3 linked regions of the Tribolium castaneum genome follow. The protein of the gene in region 3 purifies or fractionates together with the protein of the main gene of each other region. This does not show direct contact. Links are inferred from orthologs where the notes say so. Each region holds a gene or a part of one and is shown on either strand. Other genes may lie near its edges. The genes, in order: Cul1, Tusp and Roc2.

The links.
Region 1: the proteins of Roc2 (region 3) and Cul1 purify together in Homo sapiens (affinity purification with western blotting; 5 studies listed by BioGRID). This does not show direct contact. The link is inferred for Tribolium castaneum from reciprocal best matches to the Homo sapiens genes RNF7 and CUL1.
Region 2: the proteins of Roc2 (region 3) and Tusp purify together in Homo sapiens (co-immunoprecipitation; 3 studies listed by BioGRID and IntAct, with this or other methods). This does not show direct contact. The link is inferred for Tribolium castaneum from reciprocal best matches to the Homo sapiens genes RNF7 and TULP4.

What each region holds. Positions count from the first base shown.
Region 1 is NC_087396.1:22,570,515-22,578,010, reverse strand, and holds part of Cul1 (cullin-1), read left to right. Parts: exon of another isoform or gene 1-166; intron 167-195; exon of another isoform or gene 196-350; intron 351-511; 5' UTR 512-545; coding exon 546-863; intron 864-3,644; coding exon 3,645-3,863; intron 3,864-4,745; coding exon 4,746-5,294; intron 5,295-5,342; coding exon 5,343-5,606; intron 5,607-5,654; coding exon 5,655-5,834; intron 5,835-6,475; coding exon 6,476-6,625; intron 6,626-6,675; coding exon 6,676-7,016; intron 7,017-7,064; coding exon 7,065-7,284; intron 7,285-7,335; coding exon 7,336-7,416; 3' UTR 7,417-7,496. UniProt on the Homo sapiens protein: Core component of multiple cullin-RING-based SCF (SKP1-CUL1-F-box protein) E3 ubiquitin-protein ligase complexes, which mediate the ubiquitination of proteins involved in cell cycle progression, signal transduction and transcription.
Region 2 is NC_087400.1:574,218-582,243, reverse strand, and holds part of Tusp (tubby-related protein 4), read left to right. Parts: coding exon 1-91; intron 92-5,701; coding exon 5,702-5,866; intron 5,867-7,693; coding exon 7,694-8,026. UniProt on the Homo sapiens protein: May be a substrate-recognition component of a SCF-like ECS (Elongin-Cullin-SOCS-box protein) E3 ubiquitin ligase complex which mediates the ubiquitination and subsequent proteasomal degradation of target proteins.
Region 3 is NC_087397.1:2,860,837-2,867,881, forward strand, and holds Roc2 (RING-box protein 2), read left to right. Parts: upstream 1-4,293; 5' UTR 4,294-4,405; coding exon 4,406-4,750; 3' UTR 4,751-4,997; downstream 4,998-7,045. Other genes in the region: Slik (STE20-like serine/threonine-protein kinase), read left to right, coding at 1-1,337, 1,497-1,736, 2,158-2,325; dual specificity mitogen-activated protein kinase kinase 7, read left to right, coding at 5,224-5,287, 5,343-5,581, 5,637-5,864, 5,914-6,093, 6,141-6,355, 6,708-6,860. UniProt on the Homo sapiens protein: Catalytic component of multiple cullin-5-RING E3 ubiquitin-protein ligase complexes (ECS complexes), which mediate the ubiquitination and subsequent proteasomal degradation of target proteins.

The sequences.
Region 1 (7,496 bases), on a different chromosome or scaffold from region 3:
GTTTTGGACCCGCTAGGGTGAGTTAAGTGTCTTTCGAGCGGTGGAACACATTTATTTTAGCGTGACACTTGTGGAAACGCTAGTTATTCGGTAAAATTGGCGCGTTTTGGGGTTATGCTACCGCCGTGACGTTAGGCGCGGTTCCGGGATGACTTTCACTGGGAGAGGTTGGCAGGCATGTCGTGGCAGTGCGTCCGACTTCACGGGGTTTAGATTTGTCAATTTTTGTATCTCAAAATAGGCAACAATAAATTTTTTATTTTCGCCACCTAAAGTAAATTTAAAGTTCCACGTTGTTGTTAAAACTTGTAAATATAGTGTAAATTTTTGTTATGATATAGGAATCCGAGGTGAGTCAAACCCAACTCATAAATAATACATCCATAATTATGGTGCAGCTTTACAAACAAAAGGTGAAAGACAAATTCGAAAAATTCCATTTGTGACTTTCTAACTTGCGAATCGGACGTGCCGTTTTGACCGGGCGTGATCTTTGTCTTGGTGGTTTCAGAGTGCGAACGTTTTGCTTGTGGAGTGCTGAGGAGATGTCGAATAAAAATTCCGTCAATAACACAGCGGGGCTCAAACAGATCGACCTGGATCAGATTTGGGGGGATTTGCACGCGGGGATCGAGCATGCATACAGCCAGCAGCACATGCCCAAGTACCTCTACATCCAGCTGTACACCCATGTTTATGACTACTGCACCTCGGTGCACCAGCAGGCCAATGGCAGGGGCTCCTCCAGCATCTCCACCAAGAACAAGAAGAGCCAGGTTGGGGGCGGCGCCCAGCTCGTGGGCCTCGAGCTCTACAAGAGGATCAGGGAGTTCCTGAGGAACTATCTGGTGACTCTGCTGAGTGTAAGCCTTTTGCATTCATTTTCGCCCAAAAAACGGGAAATATGACCGGAATTGTGCTACTAACGAAAGTACATGTTTTTGTTTCCAAGTTTTATGCACTGGGTCAGAATTAAATTTGTTAAACACAAGGATTTGCTCTACTGTTTATCTTACTCCTAATTAAAGAATTAACGAGAGAATTAAAGAGATGTGATGACTCTACCAAGGCTTTGGTTTTGCCGATTATTTTGTCTGTTCTACATTTATCTTAAAAAAAGTTACAATAGTAATGAGACATATGCATTGCATCATTGCTTAAAAGCACTTTGCTAGTTTTTAAGGATATTTTTCTATGTATTTGTTGTTTTTTATGTCATCCTTGTAGTTGAAATTTGGGGTTATTTACTTTTTCGAGTATAAATTTATTCAAAACTGGATATTTTTGTTACGGATAGAAGACATTATTATAATTTTTTTATATTTGTTCAAGTTTATTCAAATTGTAATAATTATATGATATTTAACTAAGGGTGGATTTTACAATCGTCAGATAAACGCCAGATAAGTTTAAATAGTTACAGTTTTTCAGAGATGCAAAAAATGTGCTTTTTTTTTTAAATGAACTGTGTATGCAGTTTATTCTCAATTTCTTAAATAATTCGACTCCTAGACTGTGTGTTTTAATTTGACTAGTTTTAATTTGATAGTTTTAATAAAAAAATGTTTTTGAACGTAAAAATTGCTATTTTTAATATCACTTCGATACATTTTCGAATTTTGATTTTACAATTTTTTACTTTAATTTTAATCTGTATTTATATTCTGCTTTGTGAAAGGTTTTGTTTAAAGGCTGCTTAGTTTTATTTACCTTAACTTTCTTAAACAATTAAATTAACACAAATTGTTGCGTTTTAGAACAATTTTTTGGTGGTGGTAAGTGGTATTTTTAAAGGAATGTTTCTAAAGTAGAATTATTGTCCATTTCAATAAGACTATTTTTTAGTTTTACATTTTTTTTAGTTAAATTTCAATCTGATTATGATTCTGTGTTTGTTCTAGAAGATTGTTTAAAACGGTTAATCTTATCTTATTATTTATCTTAATTTTCTTCAGTTTATTGATGGTGCTGGTAATATTTTGTGAAAATGATAACATTCTGATAACATTACAGCGTGAGCTAATTGTAGAAGAAACGTTTGTTTGCTCGTGGTGTGTGGGCGATTGCCACCGCCAGTTCCTTATCTCAAATGAATGAAAATTCATCTCAATAAATCACTCATTATTTTTGGTTTCCGTCCCAAAATAATTGGACGCAGTTCAAGAATGAAATGAGTTAAAATTTCAAAGGGAAGAATGTGCCAACAATTAATTTAGGACTAACGATCCTGAAATAACGAAAATCTAATGGATTGGATTTCACACAATCGAAACAAACCCCTCGCATCATAAAAATTGAATTTGTTGCGAGTTGAACGACCACGTATTTGAATATTTCATATTTTTATAATGGTATCAATTACGCAACGTTATCGATTCGCCACAGATAAAAAAAAATCTCGTTTCCAACAGTGTTTTAACGTTAATTATCTTGAATGTTGTTTGGTCACGAGCTATGGCAATGGCGCCACATTTACTTCCGCTTTATTACAAAATTTCGGTGCAAGAAAGTAAATACGTTTTTCGGTGAAAATTCAGGTCAGCGATTATTTCCAGCGAAAGTTCAAAGGGTCGACGGATAAGAAGTGCACTTGGCAATAACAAAATCGGGGAAAAATACCGAAAATTGCAGAATTGTTGTTTTTCCTTGAGTGACGTTTCGTGCTGTAATTACCGCAGTTGATGCAAGACTAATTTTCGGTTGAGGAAATTTTCCGGTGACGCTTAATTTATCGATCGAGGGAATATCTGTTTTTGATTAAAAAAAAAAAAACGAAATGCCAGTGTTAAAATATTAAGTGGAAGCGTGGAGAAAGTGTGACTGAATAATGCACGAAGGGATAACGAAAATTACAATTTTAAATTGGTCAAAGGATGAAGTTCACATTTTATCATCGTTATCTGTTGGAACGACTCGTAAATTAGTTGAGACGGTTCAGGTCGTGTTAATCGAGCGCGGAATAAGATTGTGAAACAAGAAATTGAATGAATCATGATTTTGACGCAATAATCGCCAGCAAATCTTGACAGTAATAAAAGCCTAGTCGTGAATTGTTTTGCTTTTTATGAACGAACAAGTTGGAAAAAATCTATGATGAAATTTACTAAAATCTAAAAAAAATATTCGTTGTTGTGGTTTAAATAAAATAAACTGAGCGATTTGAGACAAAATAATTTCTTTGGAATTTTTTTTTTGTAAAGACTACAATGTTTTACGTTTACATGCAAATTCCAGTTAAACTCTGTCATTAACCTTGGTTAAAAGGTAATTATAACAATACGTGTTATTTTTAAACCCACCTTAATGGAATCTCAATTCGAATAAGACACCAGAGAAAGATAAAAAATTCGAGTGAATTATTCAGTAATCTTATCTGTTTTAACTGTTTGGAAAAAAAAAAACGTACTGGACAAATATGAATATAATTTTATTAATTTATGAATCCACGTTTGCGAACCAACTGCGTTTTGTTGTTTCGATGCGTATTGTTTGGTCCGCCGCACAAATAAAAACACAATTAACGCAATAAAGGCGGAAACAGACATGTAGCAAAACAAGTTATTATTGACGTGATTTGATTATTGCGTAGTAATTTCGAAACCGGAAGATTTACAAATCAATTTTTTCATTTTTTTTTCTGTTAGGACGGGATGAATCGGATGGGTGAAGGCGTTTTGAAATTTTATACGCGTCAATGGGAGGAGTATCAGTTCAGTAGCAAGGTTCTGAATGGTATTTGCTCGTATTTGAATCGACATTGGGTGAAGAGAGAATGCGAAGAGGGAAGGAAAGGAATCTACGAAATTTATCAGCTCGCACTGGTGACATGGCGAGATCATCTGTTCAAACAATTAAACAAACAGGTTAGCCACAAATTCGCGCGGAAAACTATCAATATTTATGGGGAAGGGAAAAACGAGGGGTCATCTACGGCTCACTGTACTTTATTTAACTTCTTTTTTTTTTATTTAATTTAGAAGGTGAGAACAGTTTCAAAATTATCCAAAAAGAACCGAAAAGTCGGCTAATTCAGCAGAAGGCGATTTTGATGAAAGCTTTAATAAATTTCAAAAATATATTTATAATCTCGGAGAGTATGAGTAGCTGAAGATCTGGAGCCTTTAGGAAGATTTGACATTTTGAATTTGAAAGATTACACTCCACATGAAGGTCAAAAAAACATTTAAATTTAACCCACTATTGACTCACCCTGTATGTGAATTTTCTCATATTTTTTCTACAATTTCTTAAAATTAATAAATTAATATTAAGGGCTGGTTTGCCTGAATGTTTTTGGTTACAATTTAATGTGAGATCATCCAACTTTTTGGAGGATTTTTTGAGGCTAGCTACAATGTTTTCTACGTAATTTTGACATAAATCAAAATTTGAAATATTTTTTTCAGTCGCTTACGATTAATTAATTTGTTTTGATTGCGTATAAGGAACTTGTAAAAATTTTGAAAAGATTTACTTGCATAGAGAAAAACAGGCATTTAATGTGTGTTTATAATTTTTTGCGATACGGTAAAAATAAACTTATTTTAGCCCACTTACGCTAGCTAATCTGGTATGGAAAAATCCTCAGAAAAATGAAATAAAAAAAATACTTCTGAGGTAATAAATAGAATTATATTAATTTTAAAAGTTTTGTTTTTGCTTTCGTTTTAAATTAGTAAATATTGAGAGTTTGCAAGCCCCTATCCGGGGCTGTCGTTTTTATTTTTCTCCCCCGTTCAAACCAGGTAACAACTGCCGTTCTGAAACTGATCGAACGCGAGCGCAACGGCGAAACAATCAACACTCGTTTAGTCTCTGGCGTGATAAACTGTTACGTGGAATTGGGCCTAAACGAGGAGGAACCAGGGGCCAAAGGACCGAACCTATCGGTGTACAAAGAGAGTTTCGAAAACATGTTTCTGGAAGACACTGAACGCTTCTACCTAAAAGAGAGTAACAACTTCCTAGCACAAAATCCGGTCACTGAATACATGAAAAAGGCCGAACAACGTCTCCTCGAAGAACAGAAACGCGTCCAAGTCTATCTACACGAAACAACAAGCGGCCGTTTAGCCAAAACCTGCGAAAGAGTCCTCATTAAAAAGCACCTCGACATGTTCCATTCGGAGTTCCAGCAGTTGTTGGACGCCGACAAAGACGAGGATTTGGGTCGGATGTACTCGTTGGTAGCGCGGATTCCGGACGGTTTAGGGGAATTACGGACGCTTCTCGAGCAACATATCGCAGCTCAGGGGCTCTCAGCGATTGAAAAATGCGGAGAAAGCGCCCATAATGTAACTAACTGTTACTACAACTCCCAGTTTTTAATAACCTGTATTTAGGACCCGAAAATTTACGTCAACACGATTCTGGAGGTGCACAAGAAGTACAACGCTCTTGTTTTGGTGGCGTTCAACAACGATAGCGGTTTTGTGGCGGCTTTGGACAAGGCATGTGGTCGTTTCATCAACGCCAATGCCGTTACCAAAAAAGCCAATTCGAGCAGCAAATCGCCGGAATTGCTCGCGAAATACTGTGATTTGCTGCTGAAGAAGTCGAGCAAGAATCCGGAGGAGGCGGAGCTCGAAGATACGTTAAACCAAGTCGTATGTAACGAGGTTTTGTTTTGGGTGGGGTTTTGATTGTGTTTTCAGATGGTTGTGTTCAAATATATCGAAGATAAGGACGTTTTTCAAAAGTTCTACAGTAAAATGCTGGCCAAGCGATTGGTCCAGCACATGTCGGCGAGTGACGATGCTGAAGCTTCAATGATCTCAAAACTGAAACAGGCATGCGGGTTTGAGTACACCTCCAAGTTGCAAAGGATGTTCCAGGCAAGTTGGTACAATTGGTTTTTAATTGGTCATTGATGACCCCGAGAATGAATGATTTTCTATTAATAAACAATTTGCGTTAATACGAGACATTTATAAACGATTTTCTGCACATTTATCATATCGATAAACAAACAATCAACGGAAATGCGAATTTAAACATAATTTTTTGCAAAGTGACTTTGGTTATACGCATTTCTTCCGTTTTTCATGACTGACTTCAAGGCCTGCTCTCCTTTTGGAGATTTCAGTGGTAACTTTGAACTGAAGGCGACTTTCTTTTTGTCTTGCTAAATTTCCAAGTTTTTGGCTAAAAATTTAATTTTTTCAACTTTTTATTTGACAATTTCCAAAAAATACAAATTGAACTTTAAATTTTTTTCTTGTTTTTTGTACGTTTTTCACTCAGAAATGCTTCTTTTTGCGAAAGTCCTCCGGAATAAGCCGAAAATTCATTAAAATAAGTCGGGAGATCTCAAATGATTATTATGAAATAATTTTGAAATTTCAAATGCTAAAAAATATTAAAAGTCACTACTTTAATGACGGTTTATGTTGCCATTTTTGGGCCATTTTATCGTTAATTCTTTCGAAAAACAGCCTTGAAAGCGTTGATTTTGGCGTAATCTGTATTTTTTTAGGACATTGGCGTGTCTAAAGATCTGAACGAGCAATTCAAAAGTCATCTATTAAAATCAAACGAAACCCTAGACATAGATTTTAGTATTCAAGTGTTATCTTCCGGATCATGGCCTTTCCAGCAATCTTTCACCTTCGGATTGCCGACCGAGGTGCGTTTTTTGCTTGTTGTAGGGTTGGGAGATAAATTGTACGTTTGCAGCTTGAAAGAAGTGTTCATAGATTTACAAATTTCTATTCCGGTCAGCATTCGGGCCGGAAATTAAATTGGCTGTATAACATGTCGAAAGGAGAGTTACACACGAACTGTTTTAAAAATAGATACACACTCCAAGCTAGTACGTTTCAAATGGCTGTGCTGCTCCAGTTCAACGTGTCTGAAAGTTGGACAATAGCTCAACTCGAGGAGAATACACAAATCAAAACAGATTTCCTAATACAGGTCATACAGATATTACTTAAAGCGAAGCTGATCACTTGCGATGATGACGAGAACGAGCTCGCGCCACACTCGGTTGTGAACCTTTTCCTAGGATATAAAAAGTGAGTTTACGCGCCAGGGGTGTCCCCCGATTTGAGTTTTTCTTCCAGTAAAAAACTTCGGGTCAATATCAATATTCCGATGAAGACCGAGCTAAAGATGGAGCAAGAAACAACTCACAAGCATATTGAAGAGGACAGGAAGTTGCTGATTCAAGCCGCGATTGTACGAATCATGAAAATGAGGAAAATACTGAAACATCAACAGTTGGTGGCTGAAGTTTTGAACCAGTTGTCGTCAAGGTTCAAGCCGAGGGTTCACATCATCAAGGTGATGATATTTCTCGTATTAGTTGTGTGTTTGATTTGTGTTTTGTTGCAGAAATGCATAGATATTCTGATCGAGAAGGAGTATCTGGAGAGGACTGAGGGTCAGAAGGACACCTACAGCTACTTGGCATGATTCAGCAAACGCAACTGTCACCCAACTGTCTTTGATTAACAACCGGCGGAGTCAACGAGTGGCTTGTATATTGTAAATAT
Region 2 (8,026 bases), on a different chromosome or scaffold from region 3:
CCTGCACTTTGAGAGGACCATCAATGCCAAAAGTGATTGCTCCATTCTTTCGCTCACATGGATGGGCAAAGTGCCCGATGAACTGCCAGAGGTAAGCAAAAAATTTTTTTTGAAAAATATATCATGTCAGTGTGTTACCCGGCGCATCCACCATATTTTAATTACTATGATTTTAAACTTATTTATTTATAGAGCAACAGTAAACGGTAAGTATATTTTTTATGTGTGATTAAAAAGTTTCTTCGACAACAGAAATTTCATCATTGTGCAAAAAATCTGCTTGTAGTTAAAGGGAAAGTAAACGGTTTAAGTGCACAGTTTTTTATTTGAATGAAACGCTCACTGGGATTTCGTGTTTTCACCTAAAACGTTATTTAATTAAAATAAATGGACTCTTTGTTTTAAAATCCTCGATTTTTGTGTCAAAATTGTATTGTTTTAGCATAACATAATGAAAAATATTCAAATGTTTGATTAACTTGACATTTGTCTATGCATTTAAATGGAAATTAGTTTAATTCTGAATTAAATTTTAATTTCCCTTTAATAATAGCATTTTTGGCTTTTATTTAATTAATTAAGTTGAACAACATTTAAGCATCGTTTATTTTTGAGTGACGTAAGAATACGAATTTTTTTGTTGATTTTGTAAGTTTGTCAAGCTTATAGTTTTATGTGAATCACCCTGTAATTTAAACAATGTGTAAAATAGTTTTTGCCTTTTATGAACTAAAGAAAACCAAACAGGACAACGGAAAACAATTTAAAAATATGAAAAATAATATACAGGGTGTATCAGAAATACGTGTATTAATTTTACCACGTAATACAACTCACCAAATACAACAACTTTTCTACAGGGTGCTCAACTCAGTGGTACGTTGTTGAGAAGCATGTCTAGATTACGAAAAAAATCTCAAAAAAAATCCTTAAGTCATATTTTAAAAAATCTACAAATTTATTTTGTTAACTTCTTCAATTTTTATTATTTTTTAATGTTTTTATGTTTTATTTTTATGTTTATTTTTTAATTTACTATCAGACTTTAGCAGTTTTTGAATTAAAAAAATTGAAATTCATCAAAAAAAAATCACAATTTGTAGATGTGCCAACACCGGTAATTATTTCCTAGGAAACTGTTTCAAAAATAATTAATTTTTATTGTTGATTAATTTTTTTTGCGATCACGACTCTTAGACAACGTTGCCACATATTATCAATAACTTTTAGAAAAATAATTTTTTTACTATTTTTACCTTTATATGTAAACAATTCTCTACCACACTCCATTGAGTTGGTGCGCCGCTTTTTGAGCACCCGGTATATAACGTTTTGCCAAATTTTTATTAATAATTTTTACTGTTTTTCTCCTTTTTTTTGTGCAAACGAGCCGGTCAGTGTTTAATAATAATAATAATTTTCATTGTTTTAAATTGTTTAAATTATCCGTTTCTGTCACTACGAAAATAATTCGGCTCTTTTATTTTTGTATCCATAGGCAGGTACACGTTTTAGTGCGTTACCTTTTTCCAAATTTTAAGTAAATTTGCGAATTTTTTATTGAAAATTTACAAATAGAAAAAATGTTTTATTTGTTGAGTTCTGTTGCCTGTTAAAATTGAGACACGTATTTCTGATACATCCTGTATTTAAGTCCAGTTATAACACAAAAAATACACTCACATTAACGTGAGTTTATTTTCCAATTTGTATAATTTTTTAATTGAATTGTTTCTTATTATTTTTTTAATGGATGATAAAATGTCATTGTGTAGGCATTTGACAATTAGTTTATTAAAATTGAATAATAATGACAGAAAATTGTAATGGTAAATTTTTCTAAACAAATGAGTTTAATTAAAAATAGTGTTGAAAAAAATTTAGTTATTTCCTGTTTAAAACGTTAAACTTAAAACTGTCTTGTGTATAAGGACATCTCAGAAGTAAAATCTACAATTTTTTTTCAAAAAATTTTACGTTTTTCCAAATTTTAAGGGTATTTTTTAAGTAAATTTTAGGTTTTTTGTGGCAAAAAATTGAGTTATTTCCTAGCATGAGTCATTAGTGTTCGCCACTTTATGGTTCGTTAGCGCTCATATTAGAGAAAAATCAACTAATGGATGTTTTAGGGTTTTTTAGGTCAATAATAATTTCATTCGCATCAAGTTTATCATTTAACGATTTAAAATTTCGTTGGATTTTTCGGGAAAATAATATGTATTTAAAAAATTGCTTAAAAGGTGTTTTAATTATTTAAATAATTCAAAATAGGATACAACTGCTTTGGCAATAGTAGATTTTGTAAAAAAATCCAATTAACACGACTAAAAATTTGTTTGACGTTTTAAATCAATACAAAAACCCATTTTTAAATTAAACCTGGCACGTTATTTCTCGTTGTGATAAAGTTCAATACGGTGTTAATTAAATAAGCACGGAAAAATTTGAAATCAAGTTTTGATATCACAAATATTGTTGTTTTAATAATTTTGAAAATTGCTGATCCACAAGTCTAAATATATCGTTGATTTTAATTGCTTTAGTTCGAGCTTGATGAGGGTGTAAAATAAGACGCCACGTGCACTTTCCACTTTCGCTGTGAAATATCGAATTTCATGGCAATTTCTTTAGCCATTAATGATTTATCTTGCACCGTTATTATTTTTCAACTTGACGCAAAAGACGACACCTCGCCATCATATAATGATTGAAGTGCTCGGACAATAATCTATTTATAAATTTTTATCTAGGTCGTAAGATATATAATGTAATCATAAGGGTGATGAGTTTGTCGCACCCTAACCATTGTCCCGAATTATCGAAATTGAAAACGAAATTATAAGGAAGTGAAACAACAACTATTCTCCTGCGAATTGTCTCGGAAAGAAATGATTGATTCTTTGTTATGACGGGTGTAAATAAAATATGAGCCTCCCTAATTCCCGTATTAGGTCGGATTTAGCTGAGAGCGGGTGGATTTGTTCCAAGAAAAACAATTTCAAATGATTTGATTTTTCACGTCCTTGATTGGTGTCGTAAAAAACACATTAGAAGGAATGTTTCGTGAAATGAATGACTTATGATGACTATTGATTTTTTCTAAATTTCGCGAAATGTTGTTCTTTGACTGAAATAATTTCCATGGGTTTTTTTCTCGTCTATCATTTATTAAAAAAAACAGGAAACCTATAAATCAATAAAAGTAAAATAATGACAACATAAAGCAATATCTACGAAGTATTGTTCAGAACCTTGAATGCTTAAAAATTGTAGAATATATTGTTTAATGTGATTCTTGCTTCTACAACAGTGAAACATTTTTTTCGAGGTTTTGTAGATTTTGTGCTTTGGCTAAAAAAATACATTTCTCTTTGCAACTAAATAGACATATCGTCGGACGTTTTGCTTTGGGGAATTGAAGGTTCATTACGGATTAAAGACGCTGTCAAACATTATTAGGGGCGCGAATTTGCGAGTCGAATACTTTCAGTGGCATTGACTCGGGTTAGGACCCCTATTTCAACTTTGAAGGCTTCACAGCTTTGGATCAAGGACATTAAAACAAAACATACAGGGTGCGACTTAAAGGTGGTAAACCAAAGTTATATTTTTTTAAATAGAACACCCTATATATTGTTGCATGATTAGATTCTACGCAAAAAAATAATGTAACTTTATATAAACTATTATGTGTCTATCTCTTTTCGTTTCGAAATTATTCAATTTTTCCTTGTAGAAAAGACCAACTTTTGAAAAATCGCTGCAAAGTCGCCTATGAATATTTTCCGGTAAATTTGCAACAGAAAAATTTAGAATATCCTGTATTTTTATGAAATAGTCGACTTTTACTTGAAACACGGAAATAATGTACAGGGTGTGCCAAAACGCAAAAAGTTGAATAACTCATTTTTTTAATAGAACACCATGTATTTCTTTACACGTATCGATAGCATTTTTCATAAGCTTTCTATTGATATACGGTTTTTATAGCAAATTTACAATATTTCTTAAAGTGTTCAAAAAAATAAAAAAATTATTTTTTATTTATTTTATTAATAATTATTGATGAGTGAAATTAATTTATGTATCAGGTAATAATTAGATTACTTGTGTAATTAGTCACATTAGTACATGTCAAAAAATTAATCAGATTCTAGGGTAACACTGTATTGTAATAAAATATATTTTTTTCAAAAATCTCGAAAAAAATTTTAAATTTGCTATGGAAACTCCATACCGTTAGGACGCTTATCAAAAATGCTTTCAATACATTTAATAAAATACAGGGTGTTCCATTTGAAAAAAAAGAGTTATTCAACTTTTTGTTTTGGCACTCTGTATATTATCTGCGTGTTTTAACTAAAAGTCGACTATTAGCTAAAACTACAAGGTATTCTAAGTTTTTCTGTTGCAAATTTTTCGGAAAATAGGTCTTTTTTATAACGAAAAGTTGAATAATTCCAAAACGAAAAAGATAGACTCATAATAGTTTATATAAAGCTACATTATTTTTTTGCGTAGAATCTAATTATGCACAAATATATTGGGTGTTCCGTTTAAAACATTTTTTGTTTGTGGACTTCAAATAGTAGAAAAACTATAGACCGATTACACACCGCTGGGTCACCCTGTATTTTCCGTTGGAGACACAACACCCCATAAACAAACTCAGCTAAGCAATTACACACTACCCACACTTGTACAAATTTCCTCCCAGACCAAGCAATTACTGGACAAAAGAAGACGTTTCCACCCTTATCCACAACCCTCTTATCGAGAGAATAAATTGATCGGTATTTTTATCAAACCGTAGTTTCGAGCACTTAATCAAGCTCCAAACTCACCCTCTTCGTAAGTTAGAAGTTAGTTTGCATTACAAACGCCTAAGTGCAGGTATTCGGGCTCTTTTATATGTGAAATTACATTATTCACAAGTCAGGAACGTAAACACGTTACACAGAGGGTTGCAAAATCGATTTTTCGTACGGTATATAAAATACAGCGAGTTGCAATTAAGAGGAAAAATTGAGATGAGTGCGTTTGCGTGACGTGGAGCGTTTAGTTTTGGGAAATAATGGACGGGATGGAAAAGCAATAAATTTCCTAAAGAGGTTTTATAGGAAGTCATGTTTTTAGTCAGTTGAGAAAAAAAATACAAAAAGTTAGTTTTTGTAAAAAATGGTGGATGCGCCGGGATAGAAATATAGCTTTAAATTTAAACGCTTACAAATTACATTTATTGCGGTAAACTTACGGTAATCAAAACCGAACATTTGATTTTGAATTCTGGCAAAAGCTGGTACTAGTTATTAGCTCATATCTCTGAAAAAGTTTCGCAAGTTTGGCTTTTATTCGGAATCAAGGCACAGTTTCGGTTTAACGTTCCACTTGTGAATATGAAAGGCCGTTATCTAGGCCAAAGTTGGCGGAAAGTGAGGAGAATTTTCATTTCGTTTTATTAGAAAACGTGTCGGAAATCGCACCAGCCTTACACTTTAATAAATTGATAAGTCCTTGGCTCTGGAAATTATCCAATCTTGCATTAATTATTGCAAGGTCCGTATTTAGCGGAAATTACCAATCAGTTTGGTCCACTCCTTCGAAATTGGAATCGACAGCTCGGAAATAGCAAATTACTATCTATCGACAAATTTTCTCCTAGATTAGAAGAATCAAAGTTTAAAGCTCAGCGTTGTTTCAGGACGAAGGATGGAAACTGAACAGGACAAATTACTATCAGGAAGGTTGGCTGGCTACAGGCAACGTTAGGGGTATCGTTGGGGTGACTTTTACAACGTCGCATTGTAAGAAAAACGTTGAATTTCCGCTCAGGACGAACTATAATTTGAGGGGACATCGATCCGAGGTAAAAATAACGTTTTAAAGTGCATTCGACCGACACAACAAGTGTTTTTTTGAAACTTAATTTGTGATTTTTTCTTACAAAGCTAGAGCTCATGTAATAATTTCACTTTAAAGCGATTTTTAGCGTGACATTTGAAGTATCTTTGCTTAAAATCAATGTGAGTGAGATTAGAGTCGTCGGTGCTGTAACACTTTCTGTACTTAAATTAAATCAATAGATTTGTTACCAAGGGAACGTTAATATCAAAAAACGAAATTTACTACTAGTCACATAATACGTTCAATTTTTATTACCATATTATTGCGTTTATTTATTTACCATCGATTTGAATAAAGCTGATTGAATAATAAATTAGTGAAGATTACTCGACGGTCGTGGAGGAACAGTGAAGATTTATAGTGGCTTATTCTCTAACGAAACAAGGTCACTTTCTATCAGTAAATATTTATCAAAATTTACCAACCCACAAAAAAATTTGTTGCGTTTACGAAGTTGGTAAAGAATATTCGCACCGGTTTTTAGTATCGCATAAAGTGCACGATGATGCGAATTTTATTTCTTAATATAATTGTATTGATCGGTGTTCAGCAATGCGAAAACATAAATCACTTTCAGTTTTCGAGGCAAATTATCACACGACATCGATTTGCATTAAAATTGCAGGATCTTCGTGGAAATGACAGGATGTGTGATCTATGATCGCGTGTGGGGTTTTGTGCGGAAGCTCATTTTGCAAGATTTTTGACTTTTAGCCCAGTCGAATTAGACAAATCGGGGGAAAAAATTTCTAGAGAGTTTGAATTTTTTTACTTGGGTCGCTAAAAAGTATGGATACAGTTAAATATTATAAAAACTATTCATTAAAACTTATTAAAATTTGGTATGTGCTTAAGAGTATATAAATTATATCGTTTCAGATGTTTATTAAATTTCTATCTTTATTTGTTACAAGGATACAAGACTAACTTGATTTTTTTAAATAGTAACAAGGGTCAAATTTAATATTTTTGAGAAAAGCATTTTTTTTCTGAGTTTTGTGGTATAACACATGCATACCTTAGTTTAATCAAAACTTAAAAAAAATCAAAAATTTTGAAAAATGTAAATCTTGTTAGCCTTGGAAATGTTGTCTTTATCTATCGTTAGCTCATTAACCAAAAAATAAGTAAAAGTTAAAATAATTGTTAAAATAACACTTTTAACGTTTTAATTAAGAAATTTTAAACACGGAATACTTGATTTTTATGCTACAAACGATGTTCAAACTGATTTCCACTAACTTCTTGGCTTTCTGTCTCCATGATAAACCAACATGAGATTTTTTTCGCTCAGTTTTACTTAAATGTACTATTATTAAACTAATTATTGCACCCAAGTTTAATTTTTGGCTAATAAACAAGTGACAGACATCACTATAACAGTATTTTCAAAGCTAACTTAGTTTTACTATTCCAGAAAATTTTTGAATTTTTATTTTTTTACATTTTAATAAAAGTAAAGGTGGGTATCATGTTACATCATTGAATTCAGAAAAAAATTCTTTTTTGAAAATGATTAAATTTGATTCTTCGTGCTGTTTAAAAAAATTAAGTTAGCCTTGAATTTTTAAAATAAATGACGATAAAAATTTGAAAAAGCTCTCAGATGATAGAATTTAAACACTTTTAACTGTTCCCAAATTTCAAGGTTTTCTGTTAAACCGTTCTGAAAATATTTAACTGTATCCATACTTTTTAGTGACTCTGTATCCAGCAAAAAAATCACTCAAAATTTAATTTAATAATTTAAAATTTAATATAATCTTTTGATAACTGCTTTGGTGCTTAGGTAATCCTTGTAAAATGGAACGAGCCGTACCAGAAGCTCGCCTCCTGCGACAGCTCTGGCATAATCTTCGTCTGGATCAAGTACGAGGGTCGCTGGTCAATCGAGCTAATAAACGACCGCAACACTCCCGTGACCCATTTCTCGTGGTCCCACGACGGCCGAATGGCCCTCATCTGCTACCAGGACGGCTTCGTCCTTGTCGGTTCCGTCGCCGGACAGCGCTACTGGTCCTCGATGTTGAACCTGGAGGCGACCATCACTTGCGGCATCTGGACACCCGACGACCAACAAGTCTACTTCGGCACCACCTCCGGCCAAATCATCGTCATGGAC
Region 3 (7,045 bases):
GTAGCGATGAAGTTCGGGGCACTTCGATAACACTCGACGCGCCGCCGAACGAAATTAAGGCAAAAATGAACGGACAAGTTGTGCTAAACGGCAAAGGGTTCGACAATTACGAGTCGGCTTTGTCCGACCGTTCACACAGCGACTGTGGATCGGTTCGCAGCAACGACTCGCACCGAAGACCGGTTTCGGCCAAAAGTATCGAGCATTCGGACATTGAAAGTATCTCAATAGCTAGTCACGAGAGTCGGGGAAGCACCGGCAAAGAACCGAAGAACGACCGACTGTCGGAATTGGACGAGAACGACGACGGTGTCATCTTGCGCAAGAAAGCCCAGAAAACAAAAAGAACGTCTCTAGCAATCGCCAATCGAAAGACCCGCAAAAGAACCCGGAAATTTATAATAGATGGCGTTGTCATTACCACGACTACCAGCAAAGTGATTTGTCCCGACGAAGATAATTACAACTTGGCCGATTTGCATAATGACAGGAAACAAGAATTGCGCGAATTGAAATACTTGCAAAAACAGGAACAAAAACAATTCCAGGATTTGGCGTTTAAGGAGAATTTAACGCTGGAACAGCAGGATAAAAAGTTCGAACAAGAACGAGTGAATCTCGAACGGACGTACGAAAACGACTTGGAGATGTTGAGTCGGCAGCAGAGGATGCAAATCGAGAAAGCCGAAGCGCATCAAGATGCCGAACTCCGAGCTATGTCGAAGAAAATTCGAGGGGAGCAAGAACGCGAGTTGAAGATTTTCCGAGACGGGCTTAAGCAAGAATTGAGATTACTTAAAGCCGAAATCGATTTGTTACCGAAGGAGCGGCGCAAGGCCGAATTTAAACTGCGAAAGGAGAAAATGGATGCTGATCATCTCGAGCGCGAGAAGGCGTTTTTGGAGAAACTCAATGAGAATCATGAGAGTTCGTTGCGAAGGCTGAGCGATTCGCATCGTGAGAAAATTGCGTTGATGGAAAGGCAGTTCTTGCAGCAGAAGCAGCAGTTGACGAGGACGCGCGAAGCGGCGCTTTGGGAGATCGAAGAGAGGCAGATTCATGAGAAGCATCAGTTGATGAAGAGACAGATTAAGGAGATATTTATTCTGCAAAGGCATCAGATGTTGACGAGGCATGAGAAGGAGAAGGAGCAGATTAAGAGACGGGCGGCGAGGAAGGAAGAGGAGTTGTTAAAGAAACAAGCGGCGGAAAAAAGGTCGCTGCCGAAGAGGATCAGGACGGAGATGAAGGCGAGAGAGCTGATGTTCAGGGAGTCGATGAGGATATCAATTTCCGGGACGAACGATCCGGAAGCAGAGAAGAATAAGTTTAAAGAGGTTTGTTATTTTTTTTTTTGAAAACGTTTCCGCGTAAAAACTGAAGTCAAAAATTTTATTATTTTTGTTTGTTTCGATGATTTAACACATTTTTTAACCATTAAAACCATTATTATGTGAAAGTTGTTAAAAATAATGATTATACAAAAAAATTCTCAGTTCCAAGAGAAGGAGAAAAAGCGCTACCAGGCCGAGCAGCAACGCTTCGAGCTGAAACACCAGCGCCAACTCGAAGAGCTCCGCGCAATGAGCGACGCCACCATCAAAGAGCTCGAACAACTCCAGAACGAAAAGCGTAAAATGCTCCTCGAACACGAAACGATGAAACTAAAGCAACGCGAAGAAGCATTCAGTCGCGAACTAAAAGAATGGAAAGCTCAACTCAAACCGCGAAAACAGGTAAGACACCAGCGCGCTATTGTTTTTTCTTCTGCAAGATTGTCTGCATGCACACTAATACCAATGCACGCTTTATAGAAACTCGAGGAGGAGATGCACACAGAGTTGGTAACGTCGGATTTCGTCAAATACTTACCAAAGTTGCATGTAACCGGACTAAGCACATCGTCATCAACCGATCAGGATATTCAATTCCCACTAACTACACCTAACACTCCCACATTTAGGGACTCGCCACCCACTTGGGGGCGGGTGCGGTCTTGGACCCACGGTGGCGGTAGTAGTAGCAGAGCCAGTGTTTTCCTTCCTTCGAATCCCGATGATGATTCTGCTGTTTAGATTGTGTTTTCGTTTGCTTGCTTGTACTAACTAACACCCGTTGTCTCCTCGTTTTTGTGTCGTAAATTGTGTAATTGTTTAGAAATTGGAAGAGGCGTTTGCCCAGCAGTTGGAAGAACAGGAAAGGGTTTATGGGCCGATCAGTACTCCTCTGGCTTTGCCTCCAGATTTGCCCGATCTGAGCCAGGAGAGTTGCAAGATCGGGATGGGGTCGACTAGGAGCAGTTTATCGTCGGTTTCGGAGGGATAGAACGCTTTAGGAAACAGTATACTCCAAAATGTGCCTCTGCAGATCCAGAGCGAGCATTGATTACCCTAACTCGTGTATATACTTATTACACAGACTGAATAATTAAGAAAATCGTATGAAACATTTTTTTCGTTTTGTTTCTTTTACTAGAGAGATTGAGGTGACCTGATAAGCTACTTAAATTTGGAAATTTCGAAAGGGAGAATTTTTTTCAGGTTGTTTACTGAAAACAAATAAACTATTGTTAGCTTGCTTGCTAAAACTAGACTAGTTTTACGTCGATCCTTTTTATTAAATTAAGATTAGAGGTGATTGAGGATTTAAAATTGTGTGCATTTATTAAAACCAGACTGACAGGTTACACTTGTTATTTTGTGAAATAATTAAGTTAGATTGTACTAATAGTTCAAAAGATTGTTATATCATGTTCGTAAGTAAGTTTTCTTTGTATTGAGGTATTATCTAACAATAAATACTGATTAATTATTATTTAACATAATAGATTGTATTGGGATTGTTTTTTGTTTACGCTTGCACTACTCCAGTCTGATGTATAAATACTATTATAGTCCATGTTATTTAAATACTGAAATTTTTATCAGCTGTATTCTAAGGTGTACATACAAATTCCATCTAACTTAAGTTTATTAGGACAGTGTGATAAGATTTTTATCGTCTTTTAGTTCTTTACTAACGTTTGCCACTATCATGCTGTTCTGTATTATTATGATGTACAGTCAGTGTATTTTATTTTTATGTGCATATTATTTACCAGTAACTATTATATTCAAATAAATAATATAAATAGAATTCGATTTAATCCTTCCACCTCAACTTTTCTGGGACATACTGTATATTAAAAAAAAGTAAGGTTAGGGTACGGTTTACCAACAAAAACGAAAATGGTTTTATTCGAACAAATAAGGCTGAAAAACTGCCGATTGTGTCACACAAAGCCCGGCCAACACGACATAAAAACAGACAAAAAATTAGTAAAAGAAATTTACGAATGCACAAAAGTGAAGGTGAAAAAAACTTGCCCAATTTGTAATTTATTAAAGAACTTTTTTGTAGGTAAATGATAAATCTATGGAGCTTTTGCCGCGTTCTGTGTGTGAGGAGTGCAAAAAAACCATAAAATGTTTTTCGCTTTACAAGCAACACATTCGCAAAGTGGATCAGTGTTTCAGAAGGATTTTAAAAAATTGCGAAGCCAAAAGTAAGGACACTAAAGAAGAAATCTTCAAGTGTGAACAATGTCCAGGGGAGTTCAGTGATCATGATTTATTTAAGAATCATTTAAATTCACACCAGATAAGTGTTAGTCAGGAGGAAATTAAAGCAGAAGTTTCGTGTCCGAAATGTGATAACAAGTTTTGTAACTTGGAGGAGTATGGGTCTCACAACTGTTTCACAGAAGAAGAAAATTCGCAACATGATAGTTTTGAAAATAAAATAGAAACAGAGGATTTGGAGGCGTTTAAAAAAGCCAAATTCGTTTGTAGTTGGAAGAATTGTAAAAAAATCCTCAGTTCCGCCTACACATTAAAAACGCATGAGCTCAAACATCAGGGGAAACGCTCGTTTTTGTGTGTAACTTGTGGTAACAATTATTTCTATTAACGCCCCACAAGTAAAAAATTATTACAGGCAAAGGCTTCATCACAAAAAATTCATTAACCTGCCACGAAAAAATACACCTGGAAGTGAAAGGTTACGTGTGTAAGCTCTGTAATCTTGGGTTTTCTGTGCGAAGTAATCTGAGGGCACATGAAAAAAAGCATCATGAAGGAGTCAGATTTTACTGCTCGCAGTGTTCCAGAGCATTTGCTTCAAAGTGCAGTTTGCAGAGGCACGAAAGAATTCACACAGGAATCAAGGAATTCAAGTGCCAGTCCTGCCCTTCGGCGTTCTATACCAAAAAAGAGCTCCTGAAGCACCAAAGGTACCATCAGGTGGGTATTTTTGTAATTTAGCGTGTTCTTGTTGGTGGCACTGTTACTAACGCGTCAAACGTCATCGCAAATATTGAGGTTACAATTAGGATAATAAATAACGCCCTTGGTTGATAACTGCCACCATGTCGAGTTCTATTGCCGACGAGAACGAGAACACCGAGCGCCTCGACGGCGAGGGAGCCAAGAGCGAGAAAATGTTCACTTTGAAAAAATGGAACGCTGTTGCAATGTGGAGCTGGGACGTGGAATGCGACACTTGTGCGATTTGTCGCGTGCAAGTGATGGACGCGTGTTTGCGGTGCCAAGCTGAGAGCAAAAAAGACTCGTACGGGAAGCAGGATTGCGTGGTGGTGTGGGGGGAGTGCAACCACTCGTTTCACTATTGTTGCATGTCTTTGTGGGTCAAGCAAAATAATCGCTGCCCGTTGTGTCAGCAAGAATGGTCCATCCAGAGGATGGGCAAATAATGATTTCGTGTACTTTTCAGGGTTTGCGCTTACATAAGTGTGACGAATGCTTTAAAACATTTTTCGAACGGCACCACCTGATCATCCATTTGAGGAGCCACACTGGGGAGAGGCCTTATGTATGCCAGTTTCCCAATTGTGGCAAGTCTTTCACGGAAAGTCAAAAACTAAAGAGGCATCATAATGCCAAACATGCCCAAACATAATTAATTGTATTTCCTTTTATTAATAAAATTGTAAAACAGAACTGGTTGTTTTATTTGTGGGAACTTTTGATTTCTGATGAGTTCGGTAGCAACTGTGTCAGGTTGGCCAACCGATGGTGTTTTTCCTTTGGCAGCTAAAAGTTACAGGTTATAGCTGTCATTGGTTTTGACTTTGTAGTAAGTATAATTATGTCTAGTCAAGAACAGAAAATAAATAATTTATTAGATCGATTAAGACAAGGAAACAATCCTCCACGCAATCTGCAAATGTCCGGTCAAAGTATCGCCAGAAATAATGGTGATGTTCCTCACAGTCGCCCGAGTCTCCCATGTAAGTTGTTTAATAAGTTAAGGGGGAAAATAAGAGCGATCTTTGGTTTTCCCAGTGGGCATGGTCCCCAGCCGGCCACGAGATTTATCTTTCACGCCAAGAAGCAGTGAAAATTTAGAGACTGATAGGAAGTTGAAAGAAATCATGAAAATTAGTGGTAACCTAACAATCAACAACAAACTATACGAAACTGATATAAAAGATATGGAAAGACTTGAAGAACTGGGCTTCGGGACCTGCGGTCACGTTATCAAAATGAGACACAAACTAAGTGGCGAAATCATAGCCGTCAAAGTAAACATCAAGGTCCAAAAATTAACACAATTTATTTCACGGGCTTCCATTTCAGCAAATGCGACGTTCGGGCAACAACGACGAAAACAAAAGGATTATTATGGACATTGAAGTGGTCCTAAAGTCACACGACTGTAAATATATAGTTCAATGTTTAGGCTGTTTTATAACCGATTCGGAAGTCTGGATATGCATGGAGCTCATGACTACGTGCTTTGATAAGTTACTAAAACGGTTAGGTAAACCGATACCTGAAGAAATCCTGGGTAAAGTTACAGTTGCTGTAAGTACACGTCTTCCTTTTCAAGCACCACGCTCACTGAACGTTACAGACTGTAGAGGCTTTATCGTATTTAAAAGATAAGCACGGTGTGATACATAGGGATGTAAAACCTTCAAATATTTTGATCGACACTAAAGGCCATATAAAATTGTGTGATTTTGGTATTAGTGGACGTTTGGTGGACTCAATGGCAAAAACTAGGAGCGCTGGGTGTGCTGCATATTTAGCTGTGAGTTTTTCCCCCACATTTATTTTTTTTCTAATTTTTTAATTTAGCCGGAACGCATTGAACCCGACCCTAAAAATCCCGACTATGACATACGTGCCGACGTTTGGTCATTAGGCATAACTCTAGTTGAATTAGCAACGGGGGTTTTCCCATATCCCAACTGTACAACCGATTTTGAAGTCCTAACCAAAGTGCTAGGACAAGATCCGCCAAGCTTACCTGAGACTTTTAGTCCGGAATTTAGGGAATTTGTTAAATTTTGGTAAGTATGGCACTGTGGGAGCCTAAAATAGGAGGCGACACACTGCTTTTATGCAAAGTAAGAATTTACGTAATAATTTACATGATTTGCTGATATTTCACGAAATATTTTTTGTGATTTGACTTCAATGAACGCGTTTTTCGCAAAATGAATCTCTAATAATATTAATAATAATAATCTTCAACACAAGATATACAGAAAATTGTAGTTAGGTGTAAAGAAATAAAGATATTTTCGAAAACAATATACATAATAATTTAAGACAATTTGTAACCGGGGTGATCTGTGGCTGTCGCCTCCTATTTAATTAACATTGAATCGTTAAGAGCCGGTCTTTAAACGTTGGTTTCAGTTTAATTAAAGATCAAAAACAGAGGCCTAAATATGCGAAACTGAAAAATTTGTCGTTTATTAAAAAGTACGAAGTAAAGCTGGTGAATGTGGGGGAGTGGGTGGTGAACGCACTTAAGGAGGCAGACGCTGTGGCGAATCCAACAGCGCCTAGGTATGTTGCATGGTTAGTTTCGATTTTGATTTATAATTTCTTTTACTTTAGTTTTTATTAATTGCTTGCTGTGTTTTCTGAGTGATTAATAAAGAAAGTGGTGGTTTTTATTAAAACCGTGCATGCGTTTACTAAGGTAACTAACAGTAAGTTTAACTTGACCAAGTTGCCCGTACTGTTATTTC